Lepisosteus oculatus: one gene and its partner. The protein of the gene in region 2 purifies or fractionates together with the protein of the main gene of each other region. This does not show direct contact. Links are inferred from orthologs where the notes say so. Each region holds a gene or a part of one and is shown on either strand. Other genes may lie near its edges.

Region 1 (7,224 bases), on a different chromosome or scaffold from region 2:
CATACAACGGAGACATGAGTTGCCATAACACAAATGGGTGCAAATGACAGTTGTGGGTGCACGATCCTTGGTGAATGTGACCCTCTTATTTTCAACACTGACTGTCTGGCTTGAAAGTGTGGGCGAACAAAGCAACAGTTGTGCTTTGGGGCTGGGCTGGACTGCCCAAGGTCTGGCAGAGTACGAGCGGTGTGGTTTCTCACATGGGAATGGGCTTCCTGGAGATGCATTCTTTCTTGTTACCATCAATAGCATTCCCCACCAGTGTTACCACAATACATTCCTTGTGAGGGGGGAACAAAGGGCTCACATTCCTATGGAATCTGCTATCAAGTCATAGCGCTCAAGCCTGAGGCACTACACTAGTAAGCTGTTATAAATTTGCACAGCAGCTTTGTATGTCTACCTGTATCATTTTATCAGCATCGCCGAACTCCAGCTGAACAGTTACTACAGCTGCAGTACGAAATCTCTTTTAAAAATGTGTCCGAATAAACAGAACCAAGTGATTTTTAAAGCAAAAAAAAAATAGCCACCACCCCTTTGGAAAAGCCTGCTGTTGCCTTAAGCAAGCACATTCTTCCAACTTTGAGCCCATTTTAAAATAATTTAAACATGTAGTGAGAATAGAAATCATGTTTGTCGCTTCCAAGTGCTACTACATTTTCAGCTCTGATTGCACTACTGACTGGGTGCCAATGCAAACCAGCTGATGTGGCTCAATGGCATAATCTGCATAAACATTTATGCACAAATTATTCATCAGGGTACTATAAAATTCAATAATAAAGGACAGTAGTTTTGCTGTTGCTATGCAGTTGTATGATGTTTGCACTAAAGCGTACCCATAGCTGTAGCCTACATTAGTGGTTTGCTTTTTGATCATCATTAAGCCTGTGCCAGATGTGGTCCATCACCATTGCACTCTTACACGCCTGAATTTATAAAGGCACCAGGCACCATTATTCCAAACTCAGGTGTGCAGTGTTTGTCTATTTTTCCTTCTATCCTTCTTCCCTGTCTTTTTATTGTTCCCTGTTTATGTCCTTTTTCCTTGTACTGCTGACTCAGACATTCCCCCTGAAAATGCTTAATAGTCATTTTTATATGTGGAGCTGTGATACTTTTTACAGTGAAAAAAATAGACAGCTGAGATATGTGCATGGAGGGAGACACAGTGGTACAAAAATGACCATGTAGTAAAAGTGGCAGGAAGGGAACCATGATGTGTTCCGAATGGACCAGAGTGCTGATGTTTGGCACTTGTGCTGCCAGTTATGGGAGGAAGCTTTGCTTAGTTGTCAAGCACAACTTCTATCCTTTAATGTACTTGACTGATTTCAGGAGTCACCAGCACAAGGAAAAGCTACTAATTCACAAAGCCAGACAGACAGGTTTTCTTCCAGGGTTTTATTTTTCTGTGGAATTGCAGTGATGGATGTATGACAAAGCTCATTAATGCCAAACAAAAAGCATGTTAACAGTATGTTTAGAATCATAGTGAAGTCAAACTATAGTGTCAGTGTTAAATTCTTAAAGTGTAATGGTTTATGTGCAGGATCTCTATTTTAAGTATTATCCTGGTCTTTATACTGGTTCTATCAAAAACAATGTTGTGATGCTGTTTAGCATTTTTCTCTCAGTGCCACACTTCAAATTTGTTTTTTGCTAACGGTGTGTCACAACAAATACAATTTCACATCTGTCTGATATTTTTTAAATTCTGCAGCAACCGACAAATTCGCCCTAGTTTTAACAATAGAAACAGTGTCCTAAACATAAATAAAAAAACATTGTTTTAACATAAATACAGTGTGCTACAATTGATAAAACCCATACAATGGAAAACTGAATTGTTAAAATAATAATGATATCCTTGGGCAAAGATTGCTTAACCATCAGGAAGGACAACTAAGGACTAAGCAGCAATATTTTTTATTTATTTGGAAGGTCAGCTATATCCCAGGGTCTTTATGCCATTGATCTGTTACAGTGAACTTCAAAAGATCATTGTCAGTCATTAGGACTAGTGCTTGCGGGCACTTAAAATGTCCTTGGAGTTGTTTGAAATCCTCACTTTTCAGCTGTTTTATTCTGTACAACCCCAGTCTCCAGCTTGTGGCACAATAGAAAAAAGGGAGTTTGGATGCTGTTGACTGCAGCCTCTTGTCTTGGAGCTTTCTGGTCACCGTTTCAGTCAGGGGATTTCCTCAGAAGAGTAGACGCACATCTCGGAAAACCCAGCATTTTGGCCGAATTCATCACACGACTCCTACTTCTAAGAATACCTGACTATTCGAAACTGAAAATGGAAATGCACTGCATAACTTTAGAGGGGGAGGGGGGTGGTACTTCCCACAATTACAGGATGCTCTTTACATGTGTGGGCAGTTTCAGATACTAGGGTTGCCAGAAAAGAGATCTATCTTGACTGTCTGTTACCAAAAAAGGTGACATACATATTTAGAAAGTATTTTTGGTAGTGTAGTTCTGATTTATACTCATTATTTTCATTCATTTTAACTGTATCACAGACAGCTGTGCACCAATTGTTACATTCACTGACTATCAAAAAAGCAACTTAATAATAACCAGATGTAGTCATATGTGACATCATACTATCTAATTTGAGACTATAAATCTTTGGTTTCTATTTTTTAAGATGTTAATTCCAAAACCAGAGCTTTTGTTCTTCTGTTCTTTTCAAACATTTCTTCCCCTAGCCTCACAATCACAACTAATTAGTTTGCTTCAGCTTAATTAATTGCCTTAGCGCTGCTCTGAGACATATTTGAATTAATTAATTGTATGTCTAGATCACAAGGATTAGGTGTCTTCTGAATATTGAAGTGATGCAGAATAATGATAGAAAGAGGCTATCAAGTCATCAATTATTATTACATTTTTACTAACGTTTTTTTCAGCAGGTGTGTTTCACATATTCTGTATTAAAATATCTGGTGAATACCCAAGAGACAGCTCCAATCATTAGGTTTTGTTTTTAAAAATCACTTGATCTGCACTACATAATTAGAAATGTATCTGCTGGTTATAAATGACAATGTGAATATACCTAGATCATAGAAACCAAACCATTATTATTTCGGGTGGGAAGCTGCCCCAGCATGCGTAGGCTGCAAAGGAACAAGTAATAGGTTTATTCCATGCTGAAAAGAGAAGAAAGAAAACTCAACATTTTGGCTCACACCCGAAGAAGGCTTCACAGCTGAAACGTTGTGTTTTCTTTCTTCTCTTTTCAGCACGGAATAAACCTATTACTTGTTCCATTATGCAATTATTGTGGATATATTTAAATACTATAAACTGACATAAACATAAAATATTTTTCATCATACTGCAGTATGTTTCAGGTTACATTTTTGTTTTTTCTATCCTAACCAGTGTGACTGTGAAATACAATTTCTTAGATTTTAGCTGAAACATGTATGCATGTGAAATGTGTGTACTTTAAATAGTTTTAACCGGAGTGGCAAAGAGAAATAGTAATAAAAAAATATAACTTTTTAAGGTAACTAATAATTCCTTCTGCTTCAAGACATGTTAGGCACAGTAGCCAGAATATGAATAAATCTACAGTCTGATTCACTTCAAATGACATAAGCACACTGATGTTCTCAACACATGCATTTTATTTGTCAATTTGTGGAATGGTGGTGGTGAGGTGAATATACAGTATATTTCCTGTTTTTAGAATGTTTCTGAACATTTAAGGTTCTGTCCTGATTATTAGTTAAAAATTAACAGGTGTCAATAAAAAAAAAAACTAACCACCAAAGTCAGTCGGAAATTCTTGGAGTTACAAATTGTGATATGAGGATTCCACCAGACCAGTTAGGGGGATTAAACCAAGTATTATCTACCGTTGTCATATCTGGAATTTGCTGGTGCAATGAAGGTGAAACTAGATGTTAAAATTTGGTAAGGAAGTAAAAAAAAAGCTAAAAAGCGCACAGTCAGCGTGTTGTTATTGAACCTGATAAACTGATTTTAGGTGCTAGAGGGGAATTTTGCCGTTTACAGTTCTTTGCTATTGGAGGCTTTTAAATGCTGACTTGATTTGAAGAATCCTGTTACACAAATATGTATTTTTCTAAGGGTGGTTAAATAACGTTTGTTGTGGTGTATGCGTTAGGGTACTGGCTATTTGCTTAAATCCCGCTGAGTGGAGGCATGAAGAGTCATCATTCTTCATTCTTACAAAGCAAGGCAGCCGGCGGAAAGTGAACCTTTCCGAGTTGGGGAAAAGGCAAATAAGGTGAAAGAGCATTGATCTGTCGGCTTTAGGACCCGGGAGAGAAAGGACTGTGTGACACAGGAGCAATAGAGAGACCAGGCTTGGGAGGTGTAGTGGAAGAACCAGCAAGAGAAACGGAGTAAATGAGAAGAATTTTGCAGACTATTGAAGGACATAGCAGCTTAATAAAACGCGTAGGGCGTCCATAATAATGACCCGAAGTCACTTGTGAAACCTTGGAGCAGGTAAAGTGTTGCATTTTTACTGATTGCTTTTGGTCTGTGCCCGAATGCAGCCATAGAGGCAAAATCCCATTGTAGTGAATGGGATGCGGCTATTTCTCACCCAGGCTGCCCTGGCTAGGCCCAGAGCCCAGTCAAAAACTAGCAAAATAAGATAAAAATATATGTACTATATTCCGAATTCTTCAGCGCATTTTACTTTACGTTATTTTCTGCTTTGTAACGAAGTTACTTCACTACCCAAACTTTGGTGTTCTGTTAGGCTTTACCGCTGAGAATTTAATTCTTGAAAAATTCTCTTGATTTTTAATTGGTCATTTTTTTTTGTATTGTACACCGTCGTGATCGCTTCTGAGATGTCTAGGCCGATGGTTGTATCTCTCGCCTTTCTCTGCACTCTGTGGAAGTTTGAATTTAAACGCACATCTCCGAAGCCTCAGTTTGAATTTAAAAGTCCACTCAGTGTTTGTTTCCTCACTTCACTGAGTAAAGTAAATACAGCTTCAGTAACAAGCGATTTAAAAGACAAACTTCAGTGGCCGTTTTGCAGATTTGTTCTCTCTCTTCAGAGCAACAGGAATCGATTTTCCGATATTGCCTTTGCATTTGGGTCTTTTCTAGATCGTGTCGCTTTAAGACCTTTTGCTTTTTACAACAGCCTTACATTTTTACTGGCGTTTCTTATATAAAAAAGAACGTCTTTTGATCCGTCCGTGCAAGATATTGTTAGAATATATATATATTTAGATAAATATTTATATCTCAACTCTTATGTTTAAGGTTTGGCGCCATAAACATTTAATTAGGTAGCAATGCATTTCAAATACCAAAACAGTTGTCTTTATATCTGCAAATGTTTACGTCCTACGGGGGAATGCTACGTTTTGCTACTGCCTGACGTTTAGTGTAAATAATCGGTTTTATGAAGCGCTGTCTGGAAACGTTACTGACATCTTACGCCTATGCACGATCTCGAACCCTAACTTAATCTGAGTTAATTTCAGTTTTTGCAATAGACTGTTACCCAAGTTGAATAATAAGTGCTCGATAAATTATAGCCAAGATTTCTACTAAATAGCAAATTCACCATTGTCTTAGTTTTTCAGAAATGACGAAGAGTAATCACAGGGTTATGATAAATGACATTAGCACGTGGGCAGTAGAAGACAGGTCTCCCACAGCAGTACTGAAGTGTTGTTATATTAGAACGAGCTGTCTGATTCATTTTTTATTCGGCAATCCTGTAGTAAGTTCACGCTGGAGAACCTAAGGATTCTTGCCAATATCAACAAATGGGCTTTAAAATCCACAGCAGCTTTATCTCGAGAAAATCTGATAGTGAGAAAAAAACGAACATTATCAACCGTTTCTGTGATTGTACTTTTTGTTTCGTCGTACTATCGTGACAAACATAAAAATGGAGCACTCTTTAAAATTTTAGTCGGCAGTGTAGCACAATTTTCTCTACCACAATTACACTGCACTCTCAAGTCAAATAAGTAACAACATGCTCAGTTTGCACATCAGCATTTTACTAATATTATTGCTTTATCAGTTATATCCCTTTTGAAACCTAACCCTATTAATGGCAAATAGCAAAGTAGCTATAGTCATAAAGCAAAAAAAAACCAAAACAAACAAACCTGAGTTCTCTTTTATGTGTTGCATTGTGCAGAAAGTAGCTATGTAGTGAATGTGGTCCAATATCAGTCAGGGAGGTACAGTGATGGAGGTTTCCATCAGAAAGGTGATGCAGCAGTGTCATAATTAGTCTTACATCATGCAGTCATTTGAAAATTGTACAGTCCTTTTTGATTTGGAGAATGCCCATAAACCTGAGGAGTGCAACTAAAAAGTAGTTTCTGATAGACTGAGGATATTCACTCTTACATTATACATCTAAAATCAGACACTGGAGCCTCTTTAGAGGGATGTTAACATGTAGCATCTGAGTCTTTGAGAGGCTATTTCAATTGAAATTGTGATAACTTCTTCATCTTTCAAGACCACAAGTCACACTCTTTTGTGAGTTCCTACTCGGGGTGTCTCTGCTTTCTGCTTACATTCCCTGAAAATTATTTCAGTTTCATTAGAGGCTGAGTTCATTTGCATTAGCAAACAACAACCTGGATTTACCACAGGTACTCATCTGCATTTTTTTAGTTAGTGTGATGTGTTAAAAAGGATCTATTTGAAAGGTTCCTCTTTCCTCTGTTGAGTAGACCAACTGAGGAATTTTGCCCATTTTTATTTAAAAACAAGGCTTTCCAGTTAAAATTGCCTTCTCAGCTTTGGAAAGTTCAAAGCCATTTTCACCTCCCAGTCGGAGGTTGTGTATTATGACATTTACTTCTCACTAAATGGCCAGACAGTCTTCATCACTCACAGTGAGTTGGAAGGATTTTTCTTTGTTGTGAAATCCTAGAATGCTGGGATAGCTCTGAGAGACTTTGGTGTACAATACTGTCAATCCTGGTATAGTTTAAATTTGGGCCTTGAGAACTTTGCATGCAGCAGGCCTTTGTATTCACATTGCACATGATATTAATAAATATTAGGAGAGTTTGCAGATGCACGTGTATAACTAATTGGGTGTCCTTCCTAAATCCCAGGAGCCTGGGTGCTACATTAGTGCTCCTCTATAAGCTTATCAAACTGAGTGTGTCGAAGACATGGACTGGATCTGTCCTCTCTACACCAATGTAGTACAGTGTGCCACCATTACCA
Region 2 (7,693 bases):
ATTGCATAATGTTGTGTGTGCTGACGTGCTTGGAAGAAGCTAGGTATGTTTAAAATCTGGACTGAATGCAGAAACAGGTGAACAAAACCCCAAACAAGCAAGCAGATCACTTAATGGCATCAATTAGTGTCAGTGATTAAGGTCTCCCTTGAAACACAAAGCAGGCTCTAGAGGTGGGGTTGGGGACCATACTTACTGGGGGAGTCCTGATCGGAACAAACAGCTATTGCTGCCACTAGCTAGACATGAGGGACAAACCATCCCCCTGATCCCCCTAAACCATCCCCCTAGAGAGCCACTCTGCGCACTGCTCTGCGCCGCTACACCAAGCGGCTCAAAGGAGTGTCAAGATGTTGCTCTCTGGGCTTGAGTCTTTATAGACAAGAACTGAAGGAACCGAAATGGCTATAAATAACAGAGCCACTTCTCTACCATGCTTTCTGTTACTTCCAGCTTCGGCATGACTGTTCATTCCTCCTGTTGCCATTCCAGACACGGATGCGCTTCCCTGTGTTTTTACGCGGCATTTAATTCCAGACTTCAGCTTCCAGCGCTGAACAGAACCAAGGACAGTATGTGCATTATATTCAAATCCACAAGCAAATTCAAGTGTTTCGGGCCTTTGCCTTTCATCTTCAGTGAACAAACTCCAGTGTGAGCTGAACTCCTGTCTGGGGTGGGCAGTAACAGTGTCCCATCTGAACTCACAACTCAAGACCAGAGCCCTGAGGGAGTGAGTGTGCGTGTGTACATGATATGATGTTTATGATAGTGTGTGAGACTGTGTGATTATTAGTATGTGTGAGTGAGAGAGCGTGTGTATGTTTAGTGTGTGTATGTTAGTGTGATAGTGAGTGTGGAAGTGTTAAAGTGTGTGTATATTTGTGGAAGTGTGTGTGACTGTGGGTGTGTACGTCGGGGGGGGGGGGTGGCTCTGGAGGGCAATACTCGCCCAGCCAACAGCCCACCCACATGACACCGCCCCCCGCATACACCCCAACCCCCCCGCAGCCTCCCTCACCGAGCACCGCGCAGCCGCAGCCTGCTGTGCAGCGAGTCTGGCCGCGAGCCAAGCGGAGCTGGAACAGAATGTGCTCGTGAAGCACAGTGACAGTACAGGTGGACGCGAGACAGGGGCGGGGCCACTGGCGCTCGTGTAATTTCTATATACAGTACAATGGATATTTATCATGGATACTAAAACACAGATAACTGTAGTACGAATCAGTTTCCTTTAGCTGAAGAACTTTGCAAAATGTTCTGTACATACTGCTGCCCTGTAAATCGTTTTCACGTTTCGCCCGTCTCGCTGTTCTTCCTCTCTGGGAGAGAGAAACCGCAGTAGAAGGGTCTTGTTTGTTCACCAGCAGAGGATCGCCTCTGTGCCTGCTGTCGGGCTGCAGTTTCTTCCAAAGTCTGCCGGTGTCCCGCCTCTGTCGGCCGCTGCGAGCGGCTTGTCTGGGGGTCCGGGGTGCGCGTTCAGGGAGGTTTTAGAAAACCTTCCCTGGGTGATCTCGGACAATCTGCTCCTTGTTGACAGTAGGCAATGGGGTGTCAAAATGTTTTACTTGTCTGTTAAATTTACCACGGAAAACATTCTGACAGTTTTGTCTTACCTCGGGGACAGTCACACTCGGTTTGTGACACACTCTTAGTGACATTCCGATGGTCTCGGTATTTGACCTGAGGTCGTGATGCCGATCCGATACCCTGAATGTTTGTCACCACTGGCTGTTTCAGGAAGTCCAGCTGAGCCAATTACAAAAATTCAAAATAATAAGAAATACAAAATTCATTTACACTTCTCCCAAAGTTTTACCATGATCGTGCAGTGTGCATTGTTTTACGATAATCGTGCCATGTGTACTGTTTCACCATTATCGTGCCATGTGCGTGCTGTTTCACCATGATTGTGCTGTGTGTGTACTGTTTTACCATGATTGTGCTGTGTGTACTGTGTTTCACTGTAATCGTGCTGTGTTTCACCATGACTGTGCTGTTTCACCATGATCGTTTCGTGTGTACTGTGTTTCACCATGATTGTGCTGTGAGTGCTCTGTTTGTAAAGAGGAGTTGTACGGCATGTTCTTCAGTACTGTACAAAGTATGCAGAGCACCTTTGAAATCTCACTGGTCTCTTGGCACTAAATTTGTGAACTGTCTTGGAGGGCATGGGGAGAAAAACACCTCTGTGATTGATTAAAATAAATGACTGTGGACACAGACTCAACACATCACCATCACTTTCCCGAGTGAGATCACCGTGGGCAGATGATATTTGACATAAGTTACATTGTGTTCCGTGCATTTACTAACTGCAACCAGAAATAGCTCAGGAGCTTTCATCACAGCTGCGCAGTACATGCTCTGTCTCTTTCTATGTTATATACAAATGAGCAAGCTCTCCCCCGACACTGCCTGCTGCATGGTCAGGGTGATACACATTCCTAGTCTAAAAACACAGACAGGTTCTGTCTCTGAGGACCCCAGGCTCATACCCCCAGCAATTATTCCCATGCGCTCTGATCTGTTTGGAGACCAGGCCCAGACCAGGGAGGTCCCAGTGGTGCACTGACCCTGCATCAGCACTGCAGTGACACACAGTGTTTCCACTCAGATGCAACCACAAAGCTGGGACCCACAGCCCCGCTGATCAGAAACAGTCGATCCTTACCTGTGCCCACGGCGGTCACATGGCAGAGAAGGCATTGCCTGCAAGTGTATTGGCCTGAGTGAACACTCAGAAATTCAAATCTATGTTGCACAAACACCCAGAAGCCACTTCTTCATTTATTCCACTGCTTGACCAGATCCCCAGCCTCCCTCCCAGGTGTGGGACGAGTGTGCAGACCATGCATTGTAGCTTCCTTAGTGACGGGCTGCTAGACGACTACTTGTGTGAGAAGTGATGAAATCGGCCCTGAGAGTGTCTGAGAGCCACACACGCCAGCGCTCATGTCCTTCAAGCAGGGACCAAAGCATGCCTGCATGCAATTGCAGCCCTGGTGTGCCTTCAGACTGGAACAGACAATTACAGGTTGTCTGCTGGCGCCGAGTGAGACGCAGGGTCCTGCTGCAGACAGTTATTTCAGCTGTGGAGAAGGTCACTGGAACTGCTTAATTGTTCTCACAACTCTTTCATATGCATGCGCAATCGAGGTTTAAAAACAAAACAATTACGGAGTCTGTTTTTACCGTATCACTTTTGCATTCACAGACAGAGAGGAAGGAAGTGCTCATTACTAATTTCTTCTGACAAATGCAAGCAGCCAGTCTTGCTGTCTGCGGAGTTTTGTTAGTGTGACAGTCTCAGTGCTACAGCTGTGAAATCCAGTTGCAGCACAGCCTGTGTCCTGCTTCGAGGAGCCAGGCACTGTGGCCTGTCTTTCCCCTCTCCCCCTTCTGTCTCTCTGCAGATAGCGGGGCGCCGCCTGTGTGTTTGAGAGCAAGAAGGACAAAACGTGAGAGAGGAGTTCAGTCCAGGACACCGCAGTGAGGAAGTAAAGTAGTACAACATGTCCTGTACTAATCTGATAAAAAAAAGCAGCCGCGTAGTAGCTATTTGTCTGTGGGAAGTGTGCTGAGAGTTTTCATTCAAAGGCTAAAAATAGTGCCTGGAACAGTGGAAAATACAGTGCGCTAACTCACAGACCGCAGTCCGAACGGGCTCGGCCAGTGCGTGGATGCAAAACCGATACATTCATTTAGATGCCTGCAAAAAATGGAAAGTTAAAGAAGTATATGAACACACACCGTCTCGCACACAGACACACACACTCTCATACACATTCTCACACAGACACACACACTCTCAAACACACATCCTCTGGCAGAAACACACGCATTCTCACACAAACACACATATTCTCACAGAGACACAACACACAAACACACACATTCTCACACTGACACACACTCTCACACAAACAGACATTGTCACACAGACACACACACTCTCACCCAAACACACACTCTCACCCAAACACGCACTATCACACACATTGTCACACAAACACACACACATTAACACAGACACACACACCATTCTGCACATGGAAAAAATGAACATGTTTTTTCCATAAACACCAGATTCCAGCATTATTATTCCTGGCTTCTATAATCCTCCGCAATCCTCTGTGTGACCCTTAGGAAACATGTCATGGTACCAGCGTTCTGAAAGCAGGGGAATATCAGCAGGAGTGCCACGCAGACTGACTGGACTGAATGCTTGTAAGGGCACCTCCATCAGAACACAACGCGGCCTTCACATGAAGTACCGTAAAAGACACACAGGCGCTTTTTTCTGTAAAAGCCGACAGGTTCCAGGTCTTCACCAAACTGGCGCGACCTAGCGCCAGTGTGAGGCTGAGGCACAGGAAGGCAGAGGGCAGCAGAAGGCCAGACAAGGAGGCAAAGACAGGGCACCACTCTCAAACTGCGGGCGAATGCCATCACACGCCGGCACTGGGGCCACAGCACACCCCCCAGCAACAGGGCACAACGCCTGCTTTATTCACTGGGTCTGCTGGGGTGCTGGGCTTCGGGGCACAACAAGAGGAGGCAGCAAGGGGTTCCCATCGCTCTGTCACTTCATACCGCTCCCCCAAGATAAGGCAACGAGAGAACCCAGACACACAGAAAGCTGCTTCAGCATCCAATCTGTTTCATTTCCTTCCACTGGGCTTTATCTTCTGACACTTTCTGAGTAACCCGTTCGGACTCGGCGCCTTCGCAATGTGGTACGAGGAAGGTGATACAGGAAGCTGACAGAAACAAGAGACAAAAAAGTCCTAAAAGACAGGGTCCAATTGCACCGGAAGTAACCACCAGATTTTATTTTTTATCACGTTACCCGACAGTACATACAGTATGAATCTTCTCCTGTACAGAATGTCTATTTGCTCGCTCGTGTGTTTCACGCAGAACGCCTCGTCTGCAGGCAGGGTGAGGGGAGGAAATGGGCACATGGAGCTGTCAGAAAGGTGCCTTGAACTTCACCAAAGCGGAAGATTTAATCGGCTTATCAAACCCAATACAGCTCTACAATAATCCAGTTGTGATTCAAAAGCATCCTATTCATACAGCGAAGTGTAAATGTGTCAAGCAGGAGTATGTAGGGCCTTTGGAAAAGGAAGCTGTGCGGAAATCTCAGAGAGTGTTGCTGTCAGCAGTGCTTGCTCTTCTCCCTGCGAGCTCCTGGGGCCCCGGGGCTCTCTCCGAGCTCCTGAAGCTCTCCCCCGAGAAAGCCTCTGGCACAGGCAGTCTTCTCCCACAGCCGCCGTCTACTCCGCCGGTTCGTCTGAAAAAGCTGAAGCGGCCGTGCTTGCGACAGGGGACAGCGGACAGGGGCACACGGACGATCGTGAGCTGAGAGAAGGCGGCCAGTCCACAGATCACCCTGGGGTGATCAGAGGCCAAGCGAGTGAGACCCTAGAGAGAAGGGGGGGGGGGGGCTTTGCTCTCCAGGTCTTTCTTGGGGGTCTGAGCGAGAGAATCGGGTGACTAGGACGTCAGCCCTTCTTCTGTGCACAGAGGGCCTCTCTGACATCAGTGCCCGGCAGGCCGCAGTGCAGCACTGGCGGTGTCGCAGTCTGTCTTGTGGCTCGTGCTATACCTGCCTCTGCTTTCATCTCGCTCCAGCACTAAGAAACGTGTGTCAGGGATACGTCACAACACCGACATTTTCTTTTGCGCTTACCGCTGCACAAGAGAGAGGTCAGAAATCTAAACTAGACCAAATTTATTACCACTGGATGCATGCTGTAAATACAAATATACAAAGGTCTCGGTACAGATCAATGAAACTGGCAGCTGCTTGGCCCTGTGGGTCTAGTTCTCTCCGTCTCCGTGGTCCGTGCTGTCCTGCAGGCTGGTGAGGTGGGGCTTGTACAGGGCGCTCCACAGGGCCTGGAGGGAGCCCCTGCCCAGGAGGGACAGGAGCAGTCGCAGGGCCTCCCCCCGGCAGGTGGTGGGTCCGTGCGCCCCCTCTTCAGCAGGGGGGTCCCGCGCCGGGCTGGGGTCGCTGGGGTCGCTGAGGTCGCGGGTGCTGGCAGTGTGCAGACCCCCCATGGCGCTGGACAGCCAGATGAGTCTCTTCAGGCTCTGCATGGCCCGACCCTTGTCGTGCATGTACTGGTGCTCAGTCACAGCCCGCCTGCTAAAGACACACCGATCACTGTCCCACCTGCTAAAGACACACTGATCACTGTCCCACCTGCTAAAGACACACCGATCACTGTCCCACCTGCTAAAGACACACCGATCACTGTCCCACCTGCTAAAGACACACCGATCACTGTCCCACCTGCTAAAGACACACCGATCACTGTCCCACCTGCTAAAGACACACCGATCACTGTCCCACCTGCTAAAGACACACTGATCACTGTCCCACCTGCTAAAGACACACCGATCACTGTCCCACCTGCTAAAGACACACTGATCACTGTCCCACCTGCTAAAGACACACCGATCACTGTCCCACCTGCTAAAGACACACTGATCACTGTCCCACCTGCTAAAGACACACTGATCACTGTCCCACCTGCTAAAGACACACTGATCACTCCCCCGCCTGCTGAAGACACACTGATCACTCCCCCGCCTGCAGAGGACACACTGATCACTCCCCCGCCTGCAGAGGACACACTGATTGCTGGCGCACTCTAACTTGTAGAGTGCCTTGAGAATGCTCTGGGTTGAAAGTGCAACAATATAAGAATCTAATTGATTGATTGATTGATTCCCTAGTCCTTCACTCCCAAAGTCTTCAGCCTTTCTCTCTTCGGATTTTTAGCTTCCTTTTAATCTGGCTCTACAAAAACAGATTTGGAGCTGCAGACTCACATGTACTCACTTACATCCAGTTTAAAGTAATTCAATGACTGGCTTCATTCCATTGCCTGCAGATGTTTAAACACCTTTTAAAATCAATCAGGATTACTTAGATAAGGTGTAAACTGGTTTTGCTTCTCTGAAAACACAAAGATCAGCAGAAGTAGCTGTCCTGGTTATATTAAGAGTCTCAATTAGAAAAGGGATTGTTTTGGGTAATTCAGAAATGGGACAGATTATATAAAAACGGGGGAGATCTTCTCCACCTAGCCCTGTTCTTCTCAGCCTCGGGGTAATGCGCTTAAAAAATCATCTCTGTCGTATTTCTATATCGTTTCCCTGACTGAACACGTGGTTTGCACCCTGTCCACGCTGCACTGGGTTTTTACCAACCACGTGTTCCAAGACGTGCAAACCTGTCCGCGCGCCTTGTCAAATCGCTGTCCGTGCGGGACTGGGCACGAGCTGACTGCGCTTCCCTGCCCTCGAGCTGCGGGGACACGCTGAGCGCGCTCGGGCAGTGCGTGCGGCTCGTGCAGCACGGCCGGGAAGAGCTGGTACGGAGGGGGGTGGGGGGCGGAGCGGGAAGCGCATGTGCAGACCTCAGTGGGTCGGGCTCCGATTAATAATGTTATCTCTTGCTTTCATCAATTCAATTAAATTCAAGGTGCTTCGTTAGCATGTCTCTCGTGCATTTGATGTATCCACCCCCAGTTCCGTGTTATCTCGCCCTCACTCCACCTCCCTGTGTCCCCAGAGCAGCGGTCCCAGGCGGGTGCGATAGCGGTTTCGCGGACGGTTATTAGTCACACTTCAGCTCTTCGGCGCCTGTAGCAGCGCAGCGGCGGAGGAGGGGCGC

Evidence for each region. Proteins that work in one complex are often made in the same cells at the same time.
Region 1: the proteins of fkbp5 (region 2) and akt1 purify together in Homo sapiens (affinity purification with western blotting; 3 studies listed by BioGRID, with this or other methods). This does not show direct contact. The link is inferred for Lepisosteus oculatus from reciprocal best matches to the Homo sapiens genes FKBP5 and AKT1.

Annotation. Positions count from the first base shown.
Region 1 is NC_090703.1:17,257,973-17,265,196, forward strand, and holds the start of akt1 (RAC-alpha serine/threonine-protein kinase), read left to right. Parts: upstream 1-4,204; 5' UTR 4,205-4,500; intron 4,501-7,224. UniProt on the Homo sapiens protein: AKT1 is one of 3 closely related serine/threonine-protein kinases (AKT1, AKT2 and AKT3) called the AKT kinase, and which regulate many processes including metabolism, proliferation, cell survival, growth and angiogenesis.
Region 2 is NC_090700.1:40,510,436-40,518,128, forward strand, and holds the start of fkbp5 (peptidyl-prolyl cis-trans isomerase FKBP5), read right to left. Parts: upstream 3,020-7,693; 5' UTR 2,710-3,019; coding exon 2,675-2,709; intron 1-2,674. Other genes in the region: pth4 (parathyroid hormone 4), read right to left, coding at 5,830-6,157. UniProt on the Homo sapiens protein: Immunophilin protein with PPIase and co-chaperone activities. Component of unligated steroid receptors heterocomplexes through interaction with heat-shock protein 90 (HSP90).